Linked DNA regions of Ovis aries. The protein of the gene in region 1 purifies or fractionates together with the protein of each later gene. This does not show direct contact. Links are inferred from orthologs where the notes say so. Each region holds a gene or a part of one and is shown in the gene's direction. Other genes may lie near its edges.

Evidence for each region. Proteins that work in one complex are often made in the same cells at the same time.
Region 2: the proteins of SLMAP (region 1) and FGFR1OP2 purify together in Homo sapiens (affinity purification with mass spectrometry; 3 studies listed by BioGRID and IntAct, with this or other methods). This does not show direct contact. The link is inferred for Ovis aries from reciprocal best matches to the Homo sapiens genes SLMAP and FGFR1OP2.
Region 3: the proteins of SLMAP (region 1) and PDCD10 purify together in Homo sapiens (affinity purification with mass spectrometry; 3 studies listed by BioGRID and IntAct, counting the BioPlex papers as one, with this or other methods). This does not show direct contact. The link is inferred for Ovis aries from reciprocal best matches to the Homo sapiens genes SLMAP and PDCD10.

Annotation. Positions count from the first base shown.
Region 1 is NC_056072.1:43,483,670-43,491,956, reverse strand, and holds part of SLMAP (sarcolemmal membrane-associated protein), read left to right. Parts: intron 1-2,179; exon of another isoform or gene 2,180-2,286; intron 2,287-2,869; coding exon 2,870-2,965; intron 2,966-3,230; coding exon 3,231-3,302; intron 3,303-4,530; coding exon 4,531-4,671; intron 4,672-5,618; coding exon 5,619-5,756; intron 5,757-6,711; coding exon 6,712-6,880; intron 6,881-6,969; coding exon 6,970-7,020; intron 7,021-7,510; coding exon 7,511-7,561; intron 7,562-8,287. UniProt on the Homo sapiens protein: Associates with the striatin-interacting phosphatase and kinase (STRIPAK) core complex, forming the extended (SIKE1:SLMAP)STRIPAK complex.
Region 2 is NC_056056.1:188,451,650-188,459,936, reverse strand, and holds part of FGFR1OP2 (FGFR1 oncogene partner 2), read left to right. Parts: intron 1-1,399; 5' UTR 1,400-1,401; coding exon 1,402-1,536; intron 1,537-4,086; coding exon 4,087-4,204; intron 4,205-5,276; coding exon 5,277-5,419; intron 5,420-7,721; coding exon 7,722-7,835; intron 7,836-8,287. UniProt on the Homo sapiens protein: May be involved in wound healing pathway.
Region 3 is NC_056054.1:220,418,581-220,426,867, forward strand, and holds the end of PDCD10 (programmed cell death protein 10), read left to right. Parts: intron 1-2,823; coding exon 2,824-2,902; intron 2,903-3,207; coding exon 3,208-3,290; intron 3,291-5,356; coding exon of another isoform or gene 5,357-5,537; exon of another isoform or gene 5,538-6,436; intron 6,437-6,484; coding exon 6,485-6,566; 3' UTR 6,567-6,966; downstream 6,967-8,287. UniProt on the Homo sapiens protein: Promotes cell proliferation. Modulates apoptotic pathways. Increases mitogen-activated protein kinase activity and STK26 activity. Important for cell migration, and for normal structure and assembly of the Golgi complex.

The DNA of each region.
Region 1 (8,287 bases):
TCTTTTTATGTATTGTTGGATTCTGATTGCTAGAATTTTGTTAAGGATTTTTGCATCTATGTTCATCAGTGATATTGGCCTGTAGTTTTCTTTTTTTGTGGCATCTGTGTCAGGTTTTGGTATTAGGGTGAGGGTGGCCTCATAGAATGAGTCCGAAAGTTCACCTTCCTCTGCAATTTTCTGGAAGAGTTTGAGGAGGATAGGTGTTAGCTCTTCTCTAAATTTTTGGTAGAATTCAGCTGTGAAGCCATCTGGACCTGGGCTTTTGTTTGCTGGAAGATTTCTGATTACAATTTCAATTTCCGTGCTTGTGATGGGTCTGTTAAGATTTTCTATTTCTTCCTGGTTCAGTTTTGGAAAGTTGTAGTTTTCTAAGAATTTGTCCATTTCTTCCACGTTGTCCATTTTATTGGCATATAATTGCTGATAGTAGTCTCTTATGATCCTTTGTATTTCTGTGTTGTCTGTTGTGATCTCTCCATTTTTATTTCTAATTTTATTGATTTGATTTTTCTCTCTTTGTTTCTTGATGAGTCTGGCTAATGGTTTGTCAATTTTATTTATCCTTTCAAAGAACTACCTTTTCGCTTTGTTGATTTTTGCTATGGTCTCTTTTGTTTCTTTTGCATTTATTTCTGCCCTGATTTTTAAGATTTCTTTCCTTCTACTAACCCTGGGGTTCTCCATTTCTTCCTTTTCTAGTTGCTTTAGGTGTAGAGTTAGGTTATTTATTTGACTTTTTTCTTGTTTCTTGAGGTATGCCTGTATTGCTATGAACTTTCCCCTTAGCGCTGCTTTTACAGTGTCCCACAGGTTTTGGGTTGTTGTGTTTTCATTTTCATTTGTTTCTATGCATATTTTGATTTCTTTTTTTATTTATTCTGTGATTTGTTGGTTATTCAGAAGCTTGTTGTTCAGCCTCCATATGTTGGAACTTTTAATAGTTTTTCTCCTGTAATTGAGATCTAATCTTACTGCATTATGGTCAGAAAAGATGCTTGGAATGATTTCAATTTTTTGAATTTATCAAGGCTAGATTCATAAATCTAGCCATACCCAGGATGTGATCTATCCTGGAGAAGGTTCTGTGAGCACTTGAGAAAAAGGTGAAATTCATAGTTTGGGGGTGAAATGCCTTATAGATATCAATTAGGTCTAACTGGTCTGTTGTATCATTTAAAGTTTGTGTTTCTTTGTTAATTTTCTGTTTAGTTGATCTGTCCATAGGTGTGAGTGGGGTATTTAAAGTCTCCCACTATTATTGTGTTATTGTTAATTTCCCCTTTCATACTTGTTAGCATTTGTGTTACATATTGCGGTGCTCCTATGTTGGGTGCATATATATTTATAATTGTTATATCTTCTTGGATTGATCCTTTGATCATTATGTAGTGTCCTTCTTTGTCTCTTTTCACAGCCTTTGTTTTAAAGTCTATTTTATCTGATATGAGTATTGCTACTCCTGCTTTCTTTTGGTCTCTATTTGTATGGAATATCTTTTTCCAGCCCTTCACTTTCAGTCTGTATGTGTCCCTTGTTTTGAGGTGGGTCTCTTGTAGACAACATATATAGGGGTCTTGTTTTTGTATCCATTCAGCCAGTCTTTGTCTTTTGGTTGGGGCATTCAACCCATTTACGTTTAAGGTAATTATTGATAAGTATGATCCCGTTGCCATTTACTTTATTGTTTTGGGTTTGAGTTTATACACCCTTTTGTGTTTCCTGTCTAGAGAATATCCTTTAGCATTTATTGGAGAGCTGGTTTGGTGGTACTGAATTCTCTCAGCTTTTGCTTGTCTGTAAAGCTTTTGATTTCTCCTTCACATTTGCATGAGATCCTTGCTGGGTACAGTAATCTGGGCTGTAGGTTATTTTCTTTCATCACTTTAAGTATGTCTTGCCATTCCCTCCTGGCCTGAAGAGTTTCTGCTGAAAGATCAGCTGTTATCCCTATGAGAATCCCCTTGTGTGTTATTTGTTTTTCCCTTGCTGCTTTTAATATTTGTTCTTTCTGTTTGATCTTTGTTAATTTGATTAATATGTGTCTTGGGGTGTTTCGCCTTGGATTTATCCTGTTTGGTACTCTCTGGGTTTCTTGGACTTGGGTGATTATTTCCTTCCCCATTTTAGGGAAGGTTTCAACTATTATCTCCTCAAGTATTTTCTCATGGTCTTTCTTAAAAATATGGAACACTTCACGAATTTGCGTGTCATCCTTGCACAGGGGCCATGCTAATCTTCTCTGTATCGTTCCAATTTTAGTATATGTGCTGCCGAAGGAAGCACTAGGTTTTGTTCTTTTAAACTCATTCTTGTGAATTACAATTAAAGAAGCAAAAACAGATGACCTGTTTCCTGTTACAGAGGAAGTTGCAGCGAGAGCACCCCTAACAGCTCTACTTACAGTACAGCTCAACAAATAGGCTAAAATGATCTGTGTGTGTGTGTGTGTGTGTGTGTGTGTGTGCATGCGCGCGCGCGCGTATGTGCCTGTGCGCACTCAGTTGCGTCCTATTCTTTGCAACTCCATGGACGCTAGCCTGCCAGGCTCCTCTAACCATGGGATTTTCCAGGCAAGGATACTGGAATGGGTTGCCATTTCCTTCTCCAGAGGATCTTCCTGACCCAGGGATTGAACCCGTGTTTCCTGCAGCTTCTGCCTTGTCAGGTGGATTCTTTACCACTGCACCATCTGGGTTAAAATGATGTGGGCTAAATATATTATACTAAGTAGATTTATCAGGTTTGAAAGCAAGATACACTGTAGGATGTGAAACAAGAATGTTTTCAGAATGTGCTAATAATTGATTATTTGTCAAAGGAATTGTGCTGAGGTTATTAGAATTTCTTTTGTGATTTATAATATTAGGAGGCCTTACATCGGGAACAGATGTTGGAACAGAAGTTAGCCACGCTTCAGAGGCTGCTAGCCATTACCCAAGAGGCTTCAGATACCAGTTGGCAGGTATTCCAGTTGCCTTTATACTCATAAAGCGTTTAAGCACAGCTCAGTATCCCTTAGATGGTTATTAAACTGAAACTAAAATTATGTAGCAGACAAAGGCATAGTTATTTCTTAATGAACAAATATTGAAAATTTAGCATTTTAAAGTGAATGTTGGTCAACTTTGTGATTTTTAGGTCTTTTTTTTGGCAGTAGCAAGCTTTTTGATATATGTTATTTTATAACTACTCTGGGATTTTATTTATATTTCATTTTTCTTTAACAGGCTTTAATAGATGAAGATAGACTCTTATCACGGTTAGAGGTTATGGGAAACCAATTGCAAGCGTGCTCCAAAGTAAGTATCCATCTCAAGTACCTAAAGAAAAATGCATTGGTTTTTATGTAGCTTCATTTGTTTGATTGTTATTTTGAATACATTCAAAAACATCTATACATTTTCACCATTTTAAAAATCTTTTACCATTACATGAAATTTCACACATACATGTAAGTAGAAAAAACTGTATATAGTGAATACCCATATAGAATTCTCTTTTTTCCATCATAGTTGATATTTGTTGGAAAAACTGGGTCTTTCACCCTGTACAATTTCCCTCAGTCTGGAATGATACTTAAACCTTCTTGCTCCTCCTCTACACCATAAATTTATACAGTCCATGGAATTCTCCAGGCCAGAATACCAGAGTGGTAGTGAGATACTAGTGATCTTTGATTATCCTTTCCTATATTCATTCTTTGTAATTCTATCTTTCCTTCATTTACTAGAGGCATTACTTCTATAAAGAGAAACTTCTCTCATAAGCCATTTTATTTTCCTAAAGAACATTTTCTTTAGGAAGAAAAGGATGAGTGATTTTTCTCTCTTTATTTACTGGATTTCAAAATGATGTTTTGGCTCCTTTTCATCTACCAAAGAATGACCAATTAAGTATTTTTTTCCTGCATATAAGATTTAAATACATAGCATGGGTTAAACCTGTTTTGTTTTTCTTGTTGATTCCCAGTTCTCCCATCTTTGGGAGGCCTTATTCAGGGAACTTCTTCAGGTTGGCACCTGAGTTCTTCTGGTAGTACCCTATCAGACTTGGATAATAGCTTCCTGCTATCATATCAGACAAGGTAGTCCAGACTCATCTTGTACATCTCTTCCCTTAGACTTGGGATCAGCTTTTTCCTCAGGGTACTCTTATTCCTTTTGGCTTAGTTATTGTGTTAAAATGCTTGACACCCTTTAGAAGTTAAGAGATTATTTTTGCCCATAAGTGTAAATATTGTGGCTTTCAGAGAATATGGCAAGTATTAATAGAATAGTTCATTCATTTTGTATACTTGGAGAAATTTTCAGTGAGCTTTGACTTTTTTCTCTTGAAAGTATGAGCTAATATGCTTGTGAGAGCATAATTTACTAATGCAACTTTTATATACAGCTTCAGTTAATACAGAGTTGACATAATTTCTGTTTGGAGGTACCTTAATATAGAACTCAGAGAACATCACAATGTGTTATTTTTTTCAAATGGTAAATGCTTTAAAAAAATAACTATAAATATTTTTAATCCTAGAATCAAACAGAAGATAGTTTACGGAAGGAACTTATAGCGTTACAGGAGGATAAACACAACTATGAGACTACAGCCAAAGAGTCCCTGAGGCGGGTTCTTCAGGAGAAAATTGATGTGGTTAGAAAACTGTCGGAAGTTGAGGTATTTCAACTTAACAGACACTAACCAAGACTATGATTTTACAGTTTTAGCCTAAAAGTGCTAGCATTTCAAGACATTTCAAACTTGGGTATTAGTATGTAGCTAGGAAGTTTTTCCTGTCTTATCTGGTGGGAAGGAACAGTATGCTATTTTCATTTTAGGAGTTCTTAGCATAGCCACATGAGCTCTGATACTTATGGTCCCTAGTCAATGATTAAGGAAATAAAAGCCTAACCAGGGAATTTTACTATTTCCACTTTGGTTAGATTTCAACCTCCACACAATGGACCATGATATGTGCCAGGGAATTGACCTCCTTTCATATAATTTTGTTTTTCTTCCGATTGAGGATAGTCAGTCTTAAGGCAGAGAGCTCCACCACTATTCTTACCTTCCCCCTCCTCCAGAGAGGAGAATTGTGCCTGGAGAGGGTTACTGTTTGCTTCTCCAGGGGATCTTCCCAACCCCAGGATCAAACCTGGGTCTCCCGCATCACAGGCAGATACTTTACCGTCTGAGCCACCAAGGAAGCCCAGTCTCAAAGTGACTGATTCATGGTCAGATCATTAGTATGATGTGCAAAGAAAGAAGAATGCTAATTGTCCTCTAATTTTGTTGATTGTGTGTGCACATTATTAAATGTGCTTTTAAGAAGTGATAGGCTTAAAATATTTTCAAGACCAAAACTCATACCCTGTGACCTTTAAAAAGTATGATTATATGAAGGATCAGCCTCTCCTTCCACGTTTCGTTTTTCCAAGTCCTTTGTATTTTCTGTTTTAGCATCTACCGGAGGTAGATTGAAATTCTTCTGTTACTTAGTTCAACCTTATATAAAGTCAAGAGTAGATTCTGATTTAGAACAGTCCATAGAATTATAGTTTGTATAAATTGAATTTAGAATGTGCATTTATTCTAAATTAATTATCTGTAAACTTGAATTACAGCGAAGTCTTAGTAATACTGAAGATGAATGTACCCATCTGAAAGAAATGAATGAACGGACTCAGGAAGAATTAAGAGAATTAGCCAATAAATATAATGGTGCAGTTAATGAGATTAAAGATTTATCTGATAAATTAAAGGTATGTATTTCTCAAACTGGAAATATAGAAATTAATCATCCCTAACATGCTGGATAGCTTAAGAATTTAGATATTGCTGAATAGTTGTTGATGAATTTATAGTATAAATCAGTTGCCGTTTAACCCAAATCCCATTACCAGTGATAATTAAAAGTTTGTAAAAGTTGACATATTTCCTTTGGATGAAAGTAAATAATGAGTTTAAAAATATATTAAATAGATAAGAATCACCAAAACCCAAGATACTCAGACTTTTGGAAAACTAGGGCCTGCTTTTCTTTAAGGTGTCCCAAATTCAGTTAGTGCTGGAGCAAACCTAGAGAGAACTTTCGCGTGATTCCTTCCAGGAGGCCATAGCCTATGCGTGGACTGCAGCTCCCTGTAGCTATAGGATATTTAGGATAAGGACAGACCAGATCACACGTAACGCCGTCTTGGTCATGTAAAATGTTAGAACTGAGTTTGTGAAGACCCGTCTTTATGTAATTCACACCATAGATTGAGTGGCCAGAAGATACCCATTTGTTAATAGAAGACCAGAACATACCTCCCATTCGTGTGAATGGTTAACCTATATAGCTTTAACTATTAGACTTGTTAAAAAGAAGTCATTTAAAAAAGTGCTTGATTCCTTTAGCTAAAAGTAATTTTGTTTAAAATTTCAGAATAAGCTACACTGTAGAACTTAAAAGCTAATTGAAACAATAGTAATTTCAGGGAAAACTATATTTCTATCTTGAAAAATGAGGTTTTCATTTTGACCCTTATAATCTATGTATGTATTGTGTTTGTTTGCTTGCTACAAGTTTTTCTCTCTCAGTTGATACAGAGGGATGACACAGTGCATATCACTTTTGACATCATTTACATGAATAAAAGGAGTCCTGTTTTAGACATCTTAAAACAAGGTCAGATTTTATTAAATAGCTGGATTTTTTTTTTTCATTTTCAACAGATAGCAGAGGGAAAACAAGAAGAAATCCAACAGAAGGGACAAGCTGAGAAAAAAGAATTACAACATAAGATAGATGAAATGGAAGAAAAAGAACAGGAGCTCCAAGCAAAAATAGAAGCTTTGCAAGCTGATAATGACTTTACCAATGAAAGGCTAACAGCTTTACAAGGTAAGTTAGCTAATCCAGAAATTGATCTGATTTAATTTTTTCTTTCTTTTTATCTGTGAAATATCTTTTTCTTGGACTTTTATTTACAGTACGGTTAGAACATCTTCAAGAGAAAACTCTTAAAGAATGCAGCAGCTTAGGTAGGTGTCACCAGATTTCTTACTTAAAGCTGAATTTTTATCATTAAATTTTTGTTTACTATCTCACATTGTGTACTTGCTTTCTTTAAGAGGGATGTTTTACATATTAGGTGTAAAGTATCTACCCTCTTTCAGAAAATTTCCTTTAAAAATATGCTTGATTGCCACCAGTGGGCACCATTGTGTAGTCTTTGAAATGAATGAAATTTATACATCTGAGATGGTCTGCTTAGAGATATTTAAATAAGAAAAACACATGAACAGCAGAATCCTTTTTCTTTTGAGGTTTATCGAAAGGTTACTAAGCAGTTCTAGGCTTTTCGCTAAGATGATAGAAAATGGCAAGTTGAACCCTTCTTGTAAAAATAAATTTAAACTGTTCAGTCAGTCTTAATGTCAGTAGGAATACAAAATGCCATGGTTACACTTGAGACCAGTTTTAAAGTAATACTTTTTTTGATCAGGCAATGATACACTGTCTTAATCCTAGGGATACAAGTTGATGACTTCTTACCTAAAATAAATGGGAGCACAGAAAAAGGTAGTGTAAAAAACTTAAATATTTTTCTTTTATGATATCCTTTTACTATTTAAGCAGGATAGAGAAGTCAGGGATTTTAGATTTTAAGTGTTTGGCGTGAAAAGCATGCTGTTCATAGACTGTTAAATCCCATCTTTTAAAAGTCAAGCTTCCTTTTATTTTCTATTTCTTAATTCTGTGAGCTATGATTAGATGTCCCTTGTTATATGGAAATTTCAGTTATTGAAATAGTAAGATTTTAATAATGTTCAACTTTAGTGTTGGTTTATATAACCTAGTATAGCTTCCCCTGCCCTCTACTATATTTTCAAAGACGATACCACCATTTTCTTTCATCAAGTACTGCTTTCTGGGGATAATTGGCCCCTGTTTTTTAATATTTGTGCCCTGCCCCCTTCCTGGCCAAGAGTTTACTTAAAAGTCCAAAAAAGAAACAAAAATAGAAAGAAAAAAAAATGTCCAGTGAGTGTTTGGATGTGTCATCGAAACTGCTCTCTTTATCTGTCTGTTTTATCAATCAGAGAAAAGGGAGTCAGTCATGTATGCCATCTGAAAAATTATCTTTTTGTTCTTGATATCTGATCCTTCTTTCTGGATAGCTTGGGTTATCTCTTGCCACAAATGTATAACCACTGTTGGTTTTCCTACTGCAACATGAGTTTTCTACTCAATGGTTTCTGTATTCCTGCAGTCATGAAGATTTGTCCTCCCTCCCCATTCATCCAA
Region 2 (8,287 bases), on another chromosome or scaffold:
CCGCTTTGCCTGGTTAGTAGTGTACGTTTGTGGATGGTGTCTGAGGTCACCTGACCAAGCGGAGGCTAGGAGGGGTCATATGGTCGGAGACCTGACAGTCACTGACTGCAGAATACAAAATAATAAAATGACCTTTTTTCACAAATGGCAAGATAGGGATTGCCCTCACGAAGAGTGCAATTTCTATATAACATTCAGTTCAGTTGCTCAGTCTTGTCCGACTCTTTGCAACCCCGTGGACTGCAGCTGCCAGGCTTCTCTGTCCATCACCAACTCCCGGAGCTTGCTCAAACTCACGTCCATCGAGTCGGTGATGCCATCCAACCATCTCATCCTCTGTTGTCCCCTTCTCCTGCCTTCAATGTTTCCCAGCATCAGGGTCTTTTCCAGTGAGTCACTTCTTCCCATCAGGTGGCCAAAGTATTGGAGTTTTCAACTTCAGCATCAGTCCTTCCAGTGAATATTCAGGATTGACTGATTTGATCACCTTGCAGTCCAAGTCAAGAGTCTTCTCTAACACCACAGTTCAAAAGCATCAGTTCTTCAGTGCGCTGAAGAATCCACCTACAATGTGGGAGCCGCGGGAGACATGGGTTTGATCCCTAGGTTGAGAAGGTCCCCTGCAGAAGGGAATGGCAACCCACTCCACTATTCTTGCCTGAAGAATCCTATGAATAGAGGAGTCTATATAACATAAAATGTATTTAGTGAATGTACACTTTTGTCCCCACTGTATATTCAGGGTGTTTTAAATACGTTCTGATTTTGTTCTCAAACTTATATATATATATATATATATACATATATACATGTATATATGTATATATATATATATGTAAAGTAAGTAAAGTCACTCAGTCGTGTCCGACTCTTTGTGACTCCGGGGACTGCAGCCCACCAGGCTCCTCAGTCCATGGGATTCTCCAGGCAAGAATACTGGAGTGGGTTGCCATTTCTTTCTCCAGGGGATCTTCCCAACCCAGGTCTCCCGCACTGGAGGCAGACGCTTTAAACTCTGAGCCACCAGGGAAGCCCTATGTGTGTATATATATATACATACATACATACATACATACATATATATATATACACACACATACATATATATATAATGTGTATATATAAACACATATATGTATATATGTAGTATATAATTATATATATTTATATATGTTGTGTATAATTTCTTGAATATTATAAAATCACTTTCAAGTTTGTTCCATCTTAACAGGATCAAAACCACATGTGTTCTTAGATGGTTTTCATCCTGAGACAGTGAACGATTCAGTAACAAATATAGCTTAAGCATAATGTGTGTTAAAGTGGAACTAGAATAAGATTGATATGCCAGCTTTCTTTTGAATCTGTTTTTCGTTTTTAACCCTGTGTATTCCTTTAGAAATGAGTTGCACCATTGAGAAGGCACTTGCTGACGCTAAAGCCCTTGTTGAAAGGTTGAGAGACCACGACGATGCAGCAGAATCTTTGATTGAGCAAACCACTGCTCTCAATAAGCGAGTAGAGGCTATGAAGCAGGTTTGATTTTTTTTTCCCCCTGTTGATTCTATTTTTAAAAGACCGTCACTGACATTTATGTGTTGCTTTTATTACAAACTTCTGCTTAACTAGTATTTTATTTTTAATGTTTTCTGAAGTTTAAAAGTAGTTGACTTATATGTCTTAGTTTACTTTAGATTGAAATATAATTTTGTCAAGGTCAACTGACATGTATGTATGTATATATATATCTTCTAAAACCATAGATTTGATCACTTAATTTCCTACAGTGATGCAGATTTGAGTTTGGAAAGTACATTAATTTTTTTAGGTCTAAATACATTTGACAAAGGCAAGATAATATCTTTTACTAATAGTGACACATTCTTTGTTCTGTCTCCTATTTTTATAATGTAGAAATATTTTAATGAGAATATTTTGGTGGTGCTGTTTAATAATAAAATAGTTTTTGAAGATGATGCAAAGCAATATCTTCTTTTCACCTTTTGCAGTTACTGCATTTGTGTGTGTGTGTGCGTGCTCAGTCGTGTCCAACTCTTTGTGACACCATAGACTATAACCCACCAGGCTCCTCTGTCTGTGGGATTTTCTAGGCAAGAATACTGGAGTGGGTTGCCATTTCCTACTCCAGGGGATCTTCCCAACCCAGGAATTGAACTTGCATTTCCTGCATTGGCAGGTGGATTCTTCACCACTGAGCCACCTGAGAAGCCCTATTTGTTTATACTTGCTACCTTAAGGAATGAACAGGGCTTCACTTCTTCTTATCCTTACCATTGTGTATAAGAGCTTTCCAGTGGGCTGTGAAGTTGAACTACTATTTTAAGCCCTCTTCTGATTTTAACTTTAAGTTAAGATTTTAACTTTAAGAGAACTATAGCATCTCTGAAACTATGATGGAAATCACTGTAGGAAAATTATATTTATAGCTTAGTCTCATGAAGCACATCTCTTTTGTAAAAGGAGACAGCAACCTGGGGGTACTGATTTTAACAAAGTTGCTGAAAAAGTGAAGCAAGTTTACCTACTGGATTAGCCGAAAAGTTCATGTGGACTTTTCCATGACATCTTATGGGAAAGCCTAAACTTTTTGGCCAGCCCCATATTTTGTTTTGCAGTTCTGCTGCCCTGAACACGTTACATACCTCCCTGTCTAGCTTGACTCATGCATTCCAGTGAACATACATGTCTTGTACTGAGTTGTAAAAAAGGCGGGGGGGTTGACAACCAGAGTTAAGAACCATACCATAAAATTTACCCTGTTTAAAAATTTTTTTGGCTGCACCACATGGCATGCTGGATCTTAGTTCCCCAACCACAAAACGAACCCACATCTGCTGGAAGCATGGAGTTTTAACCACTGGGCCACCAAGGAAGTCCCCTACAGTTCACCCTTTTGAAGGGTGCAGTTGATTGAATTTTAGTATATTCACATGCTCTGCAACCATAATCACTGTTAATTTTAGAACACTTCATTACCCATAAAGCTGCTCCCTCAGTCTCCCTTTCCCTGGTTCCTGGCAACCATGAATCTGTCAGTCTATAGGTTTGCCTGTTTTAAACGTATCGTATGAACGGAATAAATAGTACCATATGTGACTGACTGTGACTGGTTTTTTAAGTTTTCAGTTTCATCTATGTTCTATTATGTATCAGTACTTCATTCCTTTTTATTGCTAAATGTTAATAATATTCATTGTAAGGATATAGCACCTTGTGTTTTTCTATTCATTGGTTGATGAACATTTGGATTGTTTTTCTTCTGGGGCAGTTATGTATAATACTGCTGTGAATACTTGTATATACATTTCTATGTGGACATCTGTTTTCAGTTTTCTTGGGTATATACCTAGCTGTAGAATAGAAGGGTCTTATACCTCTGTGTTTAACTTTTTGGGGATCTGCCTATCTGTTTTCCAAAACAGCTATGTCATTTTACATTCCCATCAACAATATATAGGTGATAGCAATTTCTGCACATCCTCTGTTAAACTCATTATTATTACTTGTTTTAATACTTGAAGGTCATCCTAGTGGCTGTCATGTGCTATCCCCTTGTTACATTGAGCTGTGTTTCCTTAATGACTAATGATGTTAAGTATCTTTCATGTGTTTATTGACCATTTGTGTATCATCTTTAGAGAAATGTCTCTTCAAATCCTTTGCCCATTTTTTTCAGCTTTATTGAGATATACTTGATGTACAACATGGTGTAAGTTTAAGATATACAATACACATGTATATATTGTGGAATCATTACCTACTAATCATGAGGTTAGTTAATACTTCTGTCACCTCACATAATTATGTAATTACTGTATGTGGTGAGAATATTTAAGATGTATTCTCTTGTCAAATTCCAAATATATAATATAGTATTGTTAACTTTAAACACCATGATGTCCATTGCATCTTCAGAACTTAGTCATTTGCCCATTTTTTAATCGGGTTCTTTTTCTTTTTATTGTTGAGCTGTGAAATATGAAATATACACACATATATACACATATATAAGATACGTATTTTCAAATATATTCTCTTATGTCTTGAAAAAAATCTTTTCATTAGTATCAAGAAGAAATTCAAGAACTTAATGAAGTTGCAAGACATCGGCCACGGTCCACATTAGTTATGGGAATCCAGCAAGAAAACAGACAGATCAGAGAACTGCAACAAGAGAACAAAGGCAAGCTATATTATCACTGATTATAGCATCTCAAAAGTGAGCTTTAATCGCCAATTGCACTATTGAATTTGGATCAGTTAATATTTTTTAAATGGGAAAATAGCCAGTTAAAGTTCCTTTCGCTAGTCCATTATGCTTCAATTACATATATTTCTCTTTATCCTATCCTGCATATGAATGCTTGTCTACCTTACTTGGAATCATCTTAGGCTCTCACCTTCAATATCCATTTGTACCACTTAAATTATTACATGTGAAATAACTCAGTTTCATTCTCTGCAGCCCCTTGCTTAGGTGTTTATAGTCTCCGGCCTGAAGTATTCTCATTGGTCTCCTTGATTTCAGTCTCTTTCCGCTCCAGTCCATCTTCAGCACAGTCATCAGACTGATTTTACAAAAACATATCTGGTCATGTTGTTCTTTTGCTTAAGAACCATCACTGTACTGTTTCCTTATCCAGAGGCCTTCAAAGTTGACTCTAAGCCTTCTTTTTCGTATTCTTCCCATCCCTCCGTTCTCCATGAGACCTTTGCTCTTGCCACCCTGAACAGGTTCCTGAACATACCATCCACTTTCATGCCTCCCTGCTTAGACTGCCCTGTTCTTTATTTTTCAACTGAAGGAATGTACATTCATCTCACTACTATACTTCTGTGAAGCCGCCACCAATTTTTCCTCACAGACTTTTTATATGTTTATATGTTTTAGGGTAGAGTTCCACTCTGCACTTACCACACTGTGTTATAATTATTTATGTTTTGTTTTCTCCACTAAACTCTGAACTTTATGGCCTTTTGGTATTCCTAATATAGAGCATGATCTGACCCTCAGTTGTTGTTCAGTAGTTGTTAAAATGATTCTCAAAAAAATGAGCTTAAAATGGTTATTTTGAAAACTAATAAAGGACTCCATTTGGTGTCCTTTATTTCCATATGGCTAGATTTTTGTACCTCATATTTTCTTTATGAAATACCCCCTTTATAAGTTGCTTTTTAAAAAATATGATGTGGAAGAGAATACATTGTGCATTTTAAACTCAAGTTTAAATAAAATATACTGTTACTCTTGATAGAATTACGTACATCCCTGGAAGAACATCAATCTGCCTTGGAACTTATAATGAGCAAGTATCGAGAGCAAATGTTTAGATTGCTAATGGCTAGCAAAAAAGATGATCCAGGAATAATAATGAAGTTAAAAGAGCAACACACTAAGGTAATCCCATTCTGTAAATATAATTTGAAAAAAGAACAATCAATTAACTTGTGTTCAGATTTTTAAAAAATCACAGGTGTCTTACATGATATTGAATATTTCTCTTTTTGACATTTTCTTCTTTTCCTTATTTTTTTCATGTTATGTGTCATTTTCTGTTTGATTTAGTCTTTAAACTTCCATTCTTCCCTAGTAGCTTAAAATATGTATTAAAAAGTAAACATTATTTGGGAAATAAAGGTAAGTCTATTCAATTCAAATTATTCAAAATTATAATGTTACCTGCTTCAAAGAAATATTTCTTCTAACTTGTATATTGGTATATGTTGCAAAAGTGAAAATTAAATGCCCCAAAATCTTTTTAAAAACCCCAAAACAGCTAAAGTTAGATTTGTTTTTAAGACTGTCTTCTGAATGAGGCTAATTCATCCAGACTATAGATACTCCTGATTATTAATGGAAGCACGAAGGGGTGGGGGGAGGAAAAGAAACAATATACTATATATATTGCCTTCCCACCCATCCCATCCTCCATCACATACCACTCAACAACATTTTTAGAGACAGAGCTGAACTGGCTAGAAATCAACGTTGTTTCTGCTGTTCATCTTACTAGTTGTGATCCCTGTGTTTGCTAGCAGCTGCTGTGAAAAGATAGCATAGTCCTTTACCATTTACATTTTATTTTAAACTGATTTTTAGAATAGATTGTGATTACAAGGCCATTATCTCTATTGGATAATGATGAGCTATTTTTTATTAGTTATAATGAGTGTTATTTAAGAAGTATTGACTGTTATAATGTATTTTTATCTTTCTTAATTATTAAAACACTTTTTAGATTCTTTAAAATATTTATTCCATCTTGGTGCTTTTAGGTATTTTTTATTATTAATTCTACTAAAAATAAATATCTAGTAAATTGCTTTAACATGTAAATTCAACTTTCCATATTAAGGAAGCTATTAGTAATAGCTCTTGTGTCAAACAGTATAATAATAAGTTAACAAATGTAGTTTTAATATTATCTAATTATGCTATTTATCTCCTAACCAAAAGGAACCTTGGATAGTCAAGTGGCAATCTTTTGAGTATAAAATGTATCTATTGTTAATATCATTATAAAAACATTTTATTTTGAATATGTAATTTAAGAGGTTTTTTTAAGGTACAAATATGAACTGACTTAAAATTATTGGTAAAATAAGTATGTTCTTGAGACATTCCAAAAGGCCCTTGTGTTTAACAACCTAACAAATTTTTTAAGATCTACAGTGAATACTCTGGCAAGCAAGTGCTTAAGAATAAGATACTGAAGGTAACTAGTCCCTTGTGGTAGCAGCTATGTCAGAAGCAAATGTTTTCTAAAACACATTAGATTTTACCATTCATTACAGCTGTTTTATTAATTAGCAAGTTAAACATATCTTAAGATAGCTGTAAGCCATTCTTTTTCATTATGCAGATGAAATTCTTCTTCTAAGTGCTGATTCTTGCCTTCCATGAAATAACAGTTTGGTTACTTGTTATTAATTCTAACTAATACATATTAATGTTTGTGATTTTGATTTTTCCCAAAAAGGAGATGCTTTGATTCAAACAAATATTTATTAACACTTGCACTGGCTTAGTTATCATAATGAGATGAATGACTAAGTTTTATTATTCTACCATAGGACCTTTCAATGCATTGGGAGATACAGATACAAACATGATTATCTAACATAAGGTAGGATGTGATGAATCCTAAATAGAGACCTGGATTATTACTGGAGTACTAGAGGAAGCAAGTTTAGTTCTCAAGAGGAGAATCTGGGAAAGTGGCAAGGAAAGCTAGCAAATCCATCTAAATCTAGCCTCGAATTAATTTGGGGGCTTAACAAGCAGAAATGGGTGAGCAGAGAAACTTGCACGAGAAGTATGAGCTTCCAGAATATGTTTAAGAACTAGTGCTCTGATACACCTAAACGCAAAAATAATTTTATAACACATTTCTGGGTAAAACACAGAGTTACACTTAACAGCATTTTAGAGTAAGAGGCTCTGTTGAGACTACTGTAACAGAATTCTGCCCTCACCTAGAAGTTTTTGAGCACACATTTAAAAGCCAATAAAAAGTTTGAGGAGAACTCATTTTCATTCAAACACTCATTTTTACATTATTTTTGAACTACTACCTTTTTGGAAATCTTAAAAAAACAAACATTTCCAACAGTTGGCTAACTCGCATGAACTAACACTCATTCAGTTTTGAAATTACGGATATTGTCCGTATTAACATTATAATGACTCTGTACTACAGATTGACATGGTGCATCGTAACAGCTCCGAAGGATTCTTCCTTGGTGCATCTCGACACATCCTTGAAGCACCTCAACATGGACTGGAGAGGAGGCACTTGGAAGCAAATCAGAATGTACACTAAATAAAACAGTCAACTTTGGGGGTGTGGATTGGGGGGGCATTTAAAAAGTTCTTTTACATTGAATTCTCCCAAATTAAATCAGCAAATAAATGAAATTGCTTTTAAAAAACACTATGCTTTTGATAGCCTTGCAAAAATACTCAGTGTAGAAACTTTATGTCATGAATTTGCTGTATATTGCATTATACTTAGCCTGTTAGGTAATTGTAGGCTTTAAAGGTTCTTTAGGCCAGCCTTTCATTTTGTTGTTCTAGTTAACTGTAGCTGCAAAATTTTAGGACGCTTCAAATGGTTGTCCTTTTTCTGGACATCAAAGACATTTTCTTGACAGTAATTTTAATCTGACTTTGTAAAAATTTTGTTCAGTCAAACAATTAAATGAACTGTTTTAATTCAGATTTTCCATAGTTTATAGTCCTTTAATTTGCATTCACAATAAAATA
Region 3 (8,287 bases), on another chromosome or scaffold:
TCTAGCATCACAGCACATAAAGCATTGTGAAATAAGATTAGTGTTTTCCCTCTATGAAGTTGAATAGGAAAAATGATATGATTAATGTTTTTGTTTGACTACATTTGAGCTTATGCAAATACTTTATAAAATTAGTTCTTAGGATACTTTTCAATTAATGAATAACTAGTGAAAACTGGATTTAATAGTCCAGAAATCTCTGCATTTATCTCTTTATCCTTATCTATATTTGAATATTCATAGGTGAGGGTTTGTAAAGGTTGGTTTTGATGATGGCCTCAAAATAGCTTTTCCAGGGTTTCCAGTCTGGAGCAGACTGAACATACAGAATAGGAATTTCCTTCCTGCAGTATGTTTGTATAAACATAATTACACAGATTTGGGTGACAGAAGTTCTACTGTCCTATGCAAGTTTTTTGTAAGATGTATTACATTTCTTCTGATGCCTCTTGCCCTTTTCAGCATGTGTTCCCCAAATTTGCCCCACTAAATACATGCAAGTTGCTAAAATTCCTTCCTACTCTCTCCATCCTATATGTCTCTTATCGCAGAATTCATAAACTCCAAACTCTGCATGTGCTTAGTTGCTCCGTTGTGTCCATCTCTTTGTGACCCCATAGACTGTAGCGTGACAGGCTCCTCTGTCCATGGGGATTCTCCAGACAAGAATACTGGAGTCTGTTGCCATGCACTTCTCCAGGGGATCTTCCCAACCCAGGGATGCACTACAATTGTTTTACCCCTCAGGTTTTCCTCAGTTTTTTAATTTGTTTAATTGTCTGAAGTATTGTGTGTGTGTGTGTGTGTGTGTGTGTGTGTGTGTGCACGCGCATGTGCGCTGGTATTTTCTCTTCAGGACAGAAACCCTCAGATTGTTAACTACCTTCTCTGGCGCAAACCTTAGTGCTGTAAATGAAGATGCTGTTCTGTGTACATACAGGTCATCCAATATTTGACATAAATTGCTGCAGATTATCTTAGAGAAGGCCAGGCCTAGGGACAGACTATCTTGGTCTTTATAAAGCTCTGTGGCAAACAGTGGATCAAAGCTCAACTGTAGGTTCTGAGTTCCCAAACAGTAGTTTCCAAACCTGGTTCATCAGCAGAATCATGTGGGAAGCTTTTTTTCTCTTTTGAAGTACAGATTCCCAATAGTCCATAAAGTACACTACAAAATATGGTTGTCTATAAAGAGCTGTTTGATTACTGTAATTTGCTTTATTGTATTCCTTTTGAATAAGCTTACTTCAGACCCACAGGGGTTTGAAGAATCTTCCATATCCAGAGATTGGACATTTTAAAATTTGTTGAAATTGTCATTTTTCTCACATAATAGGATGGTTGAACGACACTGTCATTAAGCAGTAGGGGGCTTAATATCTGTCACAGCAATACAGGGATACAGCTTTCTTGAAAACATAAAGGAACAGTTAATGTAACTAAAAATTGTTATTACTAGAGGTCAAAAAAAAAGAGTGGACAGGTATAATTTCTATGTAAACTTACTGTCCTTTTTGAATATCTAATGTTTTAATGTTTCAGCCTGTTACCGATGTGTGACTTACAAGAGGAAATAAGGAAATATTTATTGAAATATTGAATTAGAAGGTCATTACTTCTGCAGAATAAGCTAAAATGCTTTTTTACACCAAAAGCTTTTATATTTGTAATTTTTAGAATTTCCATATGCTTATTTACTAAAAATAAACTGTGAAACAGAAAAATCTGGACATGGAGCTTTTGGGTTTTCTTTAAATAGTTTAGCTGAAATGTTTTAAGTATGAAATAACTAAAATCTGACATTTGTGATTAAAAGGTAGGTAATAAAAGGTTTGTGTTTTGGGTAGAATAGATTGATGTTTTACTAATTCATGTCTTTACACTTGCATTGCATTTGAACAGCAAAATTTGTAGCAGTTAACAGCTAAGAGAATGGATATGAAAAAGAGAAGATTTGTCTTAGAGACTGAGAGGCTGTTTGAGAATGCAGAATTACAATAAGTTCAGTTTGCTAGAATATTGCTATGAAGTTAGAACACAGAAATTGAAAAGGGCATAGATAGAAAAGATGAGAATTTTTAAAAATGATACAGGGACAGGAAGAAAAGTCAACTCAAATGAGAATGATTGATTTCTTCTCTCTTTAGAAAGGGGAGAAAAATGCTGATGCATATGTAGTGAAAGGATGATTGTTGGAAAGGTTAAGGTAAAAGAATATTCTGATATTGTCTCTCCCAGAAATATAAATATATTTCCTAAGGAAAATAGTGACAGCAAAGATTTGAAAGAGGAGACTATGTGGTTGTTAGAGAGGAGGCTAGATAAATGTGTCTTAAGGGAGAATAGCTACATCTGAGGAGGAAATATTTTGAACATCGAAACTATCAGGTCTATAATTTGAAGTGTTTTAAATGCAGGAGTGAATTACATGTAATAGCAAAATTTCATATAATTGTTCATGAGATAGCAAAAGTGAATAATACAGTCGCTCAAATTTACCTACATGAAAAAGGAGAAGTCAAAACAGGAAAAGATGAGAGTCAGAGGTCTCTTATAAATTTGAGTAGGTAATGCTGAATGAAATGAAAATGTTTGGGGAAAGTTGATGTTAATTGTGTAGTGTTTCCTCAGCAGTGCAAGAGTAGCTGGGATCACAGGAGGATACAGGCTAAATCCCCCACTTAACCAGCCAGTCAAATATTTGGCTTGATACAGTGTTCATATGGTAATTAAGTATAGTGATTCTTAAACATAGCTGTGTATAGAGACTTCTTTCAATGAAACTGACTTTAAGAAGATTCTTTTTTTTTCCTCACCCAACAGGGATATAGCTAGTGCAATAAAAGAACTTCTTGATACAGTAAACAATGTCTTCAAGAAATATCAATACCAGAACCGCAGGGTAAGTTTAGTAGAAACCTTACAAGCTGCCACCTTAGATGTTGGTTTATATCTAGTTGTTTCATTAAATAATAAGACTGTTGAATTATTGAAAAATGGCTTTGTATCGTTAATGACTGGATGTGTCCTTGAATTTGAATGTGCTGTTAAATGTGTATTTAAGTGAATACTCCTAAAACTGATTATCTATAATATAAGGTATATTCTTAATTCTGTGTAATCTTCTGTCTCTGACTTTGGCCTTTGTGTTACTTTGCTTTTCTTACTTGTTTTTTATTTTTTTATTATTATTTTTGATGTCTGTAGGCACTCGAACACCAAAAGAAAGAATTCGTAAAGTACTCTAAAAGTTTCAGTGATACTCTGAAAACCTATTTTAAGGATGGCAAGTAAGTATTATCATTTATCCCCCTTTTAAAATTATAAAATTATGTGGCTTTCTATAATACTGAAATCATATATATTTAACTCTTTTACTATATTGTTAAAGCCAACTACTAAGATAGACTGTTACAAATGCCTTTCAAAGGGGGTGTTTGATAATCCAGCCATGACTGCAGTTTGGAGCTGCAGTTGCAGACTTTCTCTGAAAAGGGCCAGATGGCGGATATTTTAACTTGGTGAGCTTGTGGCAGCTCGAGCACTTCACCTCTGCTGCTGTAGTGCAGAAGCAGCTGTCGACAGTATGGAAACAAGTGAGCATTTTTGTGGCTGTGGCTGTGTTCTAATAAAAACTTACTTTATAGACACTGAATTGAATAATTTTCAACTGTCTCATAATATTATTGTGATTTTTTAAAAATTTTTACTGTTTAAAAATGTAGAAGTATCCCTAGCTTTCAGGCCGTACAGTAGTGAGATTTGGCTTACTGGGCTACTTTACCAACCCCTGAAGCAGTGATTCTCAAACTTTACTAGCCTCAGAGTCATCTGGAGGCTTGTTATAGACAAAATATTTTTGGGTCCTACCCAGAGTTTCTGATTCTGTCAGTCTGGGGTGGGCCCAGGAAGTAACATTTCTAAGAAATTTCTAGATGATATGGATGCTACAGGTCTGTTAAGAACTGTTATACTATAGTTAAAACGGTGGTTCTCAATCCATTTTGCACATTAAAATCATTTATATTCAATGTTTTAAAATCCCAGTGCCTTGACCCCACCTTCAGAGCTTCTGATTCCATTGGCTTGAGTGGGGCCAGGGTTCAGGTGTTTTTTAAAAGTACTTCATGTGTTTTTAAAGGGCCACAAAAAGTGTCCTAGAAGAGAGGCTTTCTGTAAGACAGAAAGTATACTAAAAAGGTAAATTAGATATTTTAAAATTTACATACACTTAGCTACAGAACGTTCTAGAAAACCAAGAAATACTGTGTGATTTATGTATAATACACATGTACATACAATGTATAAGCTGATCCGAAGGCTTTGTCTTCTGCAGCCTCATACTTTATAGAGAATTCTTTGTACCTCAAATAGAATTTTGTGGACAGGACCATTTTCTATCAGTGCTTGAAGCAGAAGAATAAATATGATTATTTCAGCTATCGTTGGCAGGGAGCTTTAACATCCTGTCCCACCACTGACATTTTAAGATCCCAATATCCATGTCAGACTATTACAGTATTATTGTAGTAATATTAAAAAGTAATAAAATATATTAGAATGGTATAATGATTTTAAAAGTCATTTTTAATAGTTCAAACAGATTGAAATATTTCCATTTTATTATAAATTAAAGATATTGAGCTAAATATTATTAATGATTTTGTGTTGTTTAATACTGCTACTCAGATTGTGTAAAGGAAAATGAACCTTGTTGATTTAATTTAATAAGCTGGCAGGTGTGTTCTGAAAATAAACTTATACCTGTTTTTCCTTGATCTCCTCTGCTAAGTCCAAATAACCAAAAAGCACATTAAAAGAATAATTTGCATTAAGGAGATTATTTATGATACTGATTAATTAAGAACAACATGGGATAAGGACATTAAAAGGTAGTAATTCATTTAGAGCATAACTTTGATTAATGTAAAATTATTTACTCTCATCCCTGTTTGTACAGTAGAATCCCTTGGGTTCAGTTTTTAAAAATCTTTGTCCTTGGTCCCAAAGTTATTTTTAACAGCTTAAACAGGCATATGGATTATTCAGGCTCCCTGCTACTACTTTTTCTCCATTCAGCAGCTTCTTTAATTTACCATTATTTGCATATGAATAACATACCACGTTTTCTCCCTGTGTCCTCAAAGTTGAAAATTATTAATAGAGCCTGATCTTTAAGCCATTTTTCAATAGGAGGATGAATTTGCATTGATTCATTTAATTTTTCCTAGGCCCCCTTTGTTGAGGAATGCCTAAGATAAAGATATTGTCAGCCGTTCATATCCACAGATTCCAAATCCCTTTGTTATTGTTTAGTCGCTCAGTGTCCAACTATTTTGCCCCCCATGGACTGTAGCCCTCCAGACTCCTCTGTCCATGGGATTTCCCAAGCCAGAATGCTGGAGTGGGTAGCCTTCTCCCCAGAAGAAGGGGATCTTCCCAACCCAGACATCAAGCCAGCGTCTCCTGCATTGCAGGTGGGTTCTTTACCACTGAGCCACCTGGGAAACTCCAAATGCCTGGATTCAACCAGTTGAAAATTTTTGGAGAAAAAAATTCCAGAAAGTTTCATGGGATTTATATTGTACTTCAGCTATTTACATTGCATTTGCACTATATTAGGAATAAGTAATCTAGAGATAATTTAAAGTATACTGGAGGATGTGCCTAGGTTATGTGCAAACATTACACCATTTTATATAAGGGACTTGAGCATCCACAGATTCTGGTTTCTGAGGGAACTCCTGGAACCAGTCCTGTGATACTGAGGGGTGATTGTACAAGCTTTAGCTATGCTCCTGAGAAACTGATAAGGCCACACAGGGGGACTAGCATCAGCTCTGTGCTCCAGATCACATGAGGATGGGCTGATAGAAAATGTGGTTCAGAATGAAGTAATTTTTAAGAACATATCTTTACACATTGTCAACTCTTAAATATTGAAACCACATGATTATTTTGTTTTAAAAGTACATTAATTCTAAAAGTAATTCAGTTAATTTTTTCTTGAAGGAAGGTAAGGATAGGGATGAATCAGATTCAAAGTAATGAACCTTTTCCCAAGCATCATCCCATTGATATACAAATTTTGAGACTGAATATGGTATTTTAGCAGGTCTTATTTTGATAACTTCTGTGAAACCACAGCTGGAGACTGCATTCTAATCCTCCTCTTTGGCCAGTTACATGTTCGACCTATAAAATGAATTCTGGTTGTTGAGGCACCACCCATCATTAGCAGCCCACCAACACCTTATTGCCAGCCAGGACCACTAGGGGGCAGTAACTCCTAGATAGTTTCCAATGATGCAGGACACTTCCAAGCTGGCATAAAAGTTGCTACTCAGTACTAATTTGCCTTTGTTGTTATGTTCCTAAATAGATTTTATTGCTGCTGCTAGTTGGGCATTTTAAGTATAAATATTTTTAAAGGATTAATTTTTTGGATAAAATTAATACTCTTTTCTCTTTTTTTTTGAAACAGGGCAATAAATGTGTTCATAAGTGCCAACCGACTAATTCATCAAACCAACTTGATACTTCAGACCTTCAAAACTGTGGCCTGAGAGTTGTATATGTTAAGAGATGTACTTCTCAGTGGCAGTATTGGACTGCCTTTATCTGTAAATTTTAAAGTTTGACTGTATAAATTATCAGTCCCTCCTGAAGGGATCTAATAATCCAGGATGTTGAATGGGATTATTGCCATCTTACACCATATTTTTGTAAAATGTAGCTTAATCATAATCTCACACTGAAGATTTTGCATCACTTTTGCTATTATCATTCTTTTAAGAATTATAAGCCAAAAGAATTTACGCCTTAATGTGTCATTATATAACATTCCTTAAAAGAATTGTAAATATTGGTGTTTGTTTCTGACATTTTAACTTGAAAGCGATATGCTGCAAGATAATGTATTTAACAATATTTGGTGGCAAATATTCAATAAATAGTTTACATCTGTTAAACATTTCTTTACTTGAAAAAATGCATATATATATGTGAATATATATATGATCAGAAGACCAAGACGACTTGGTGTAATGTCTAAAGAACTTCTAAGGGGAGCTTATTAGCAGTTTATCAGATAATAAAGCAACAAGAATTCCTATTTTTTTGTCCTTAATCACTCTGGGCAAAAAGTAGTTGATGGAGATATTTTTGTTAGTTACTATATTTGAGGTACTGAGTATTTTTCCAACCTTTGTTTTAAGAGACTTATGAGAAGCAGATGGCAGTTTGTAGTGTCTTCACATTCTACTGCCATTTTTGAGCTCTGTGACAATGTAAGATTAAGTCTTTCTGGTATGCTGGGCCCTAATAAGCTTTGCGCCTTTTTTCCATAAATAGCCACAACTAATAGTAATTTGAAGCTATACCAATGCTAGTTGGTTTGAAATTGTCATGAGTGTTAATAATATTATATACACTCTTTAAATATGTACAGTTTTGTTTCACCATAGAGAAATTCTAAGGAAATTATGTATCAAGTATTCATGTTAAAGTGATTTCATTTTTCAATTATGATAAAATAAAGGAAAAAATCAGAATTTGTTTATCTTTTATAAAGATTTAAATGTTAAACTAATTTCTGTTGATGATATAAATTTTTTGCTATAATGCAATTTAGTTATGCTTTAAAATTTTCCCATTTTAGAAAATAGATTTTTAAAGAATTACTGTCATTAGCAATACAAAAGGAAATCATCCACTTAGCTGTAAACAGGAAATGTGGAGGAAAGCAAAAGAACTGATAGACAATTGAATGAAATATCATAAGTTAGAGACATTATACTGATTTTTTTCCTTCAGTGATACTTAGCTAGTAAAACACGTATAATTGGTGATTTTAATACTGTGTATTTTAGGCATAAGCTGTTTTTCGCTCTTGGAAGCGGATGAATGGTGATTTGCAAAACAGACTTGTGAATACATGAAGGGAAAAAATACTGCTTTTCTTTTCTTTGAGCAGCAGACTTTTCTAACATGAACAAGTACTATCTTTCTTCCTGTTGTCTTTCCCTCCTTAAGAAAACTCACCTGTTAACCAGTCATGCTTCAGCTCTTTTTTTTTTTTTTTAATGTCTTTTAATCTTTTTATTCTACTATGCAATATCTCCGTTTTTCCGTTTTCATGAAATTTACCTCCAGAAAGGAGATTTAGTCTCAGGATAATTCAGTTTCTTACATGATCCTAGTGGTTTGTGTTTTGGGATCAGGAAGTCAGATACAACTCCAGAGAACAGAAAAGTGGTTCCCGAGGGAAGGAAGAAAGGAGACATTT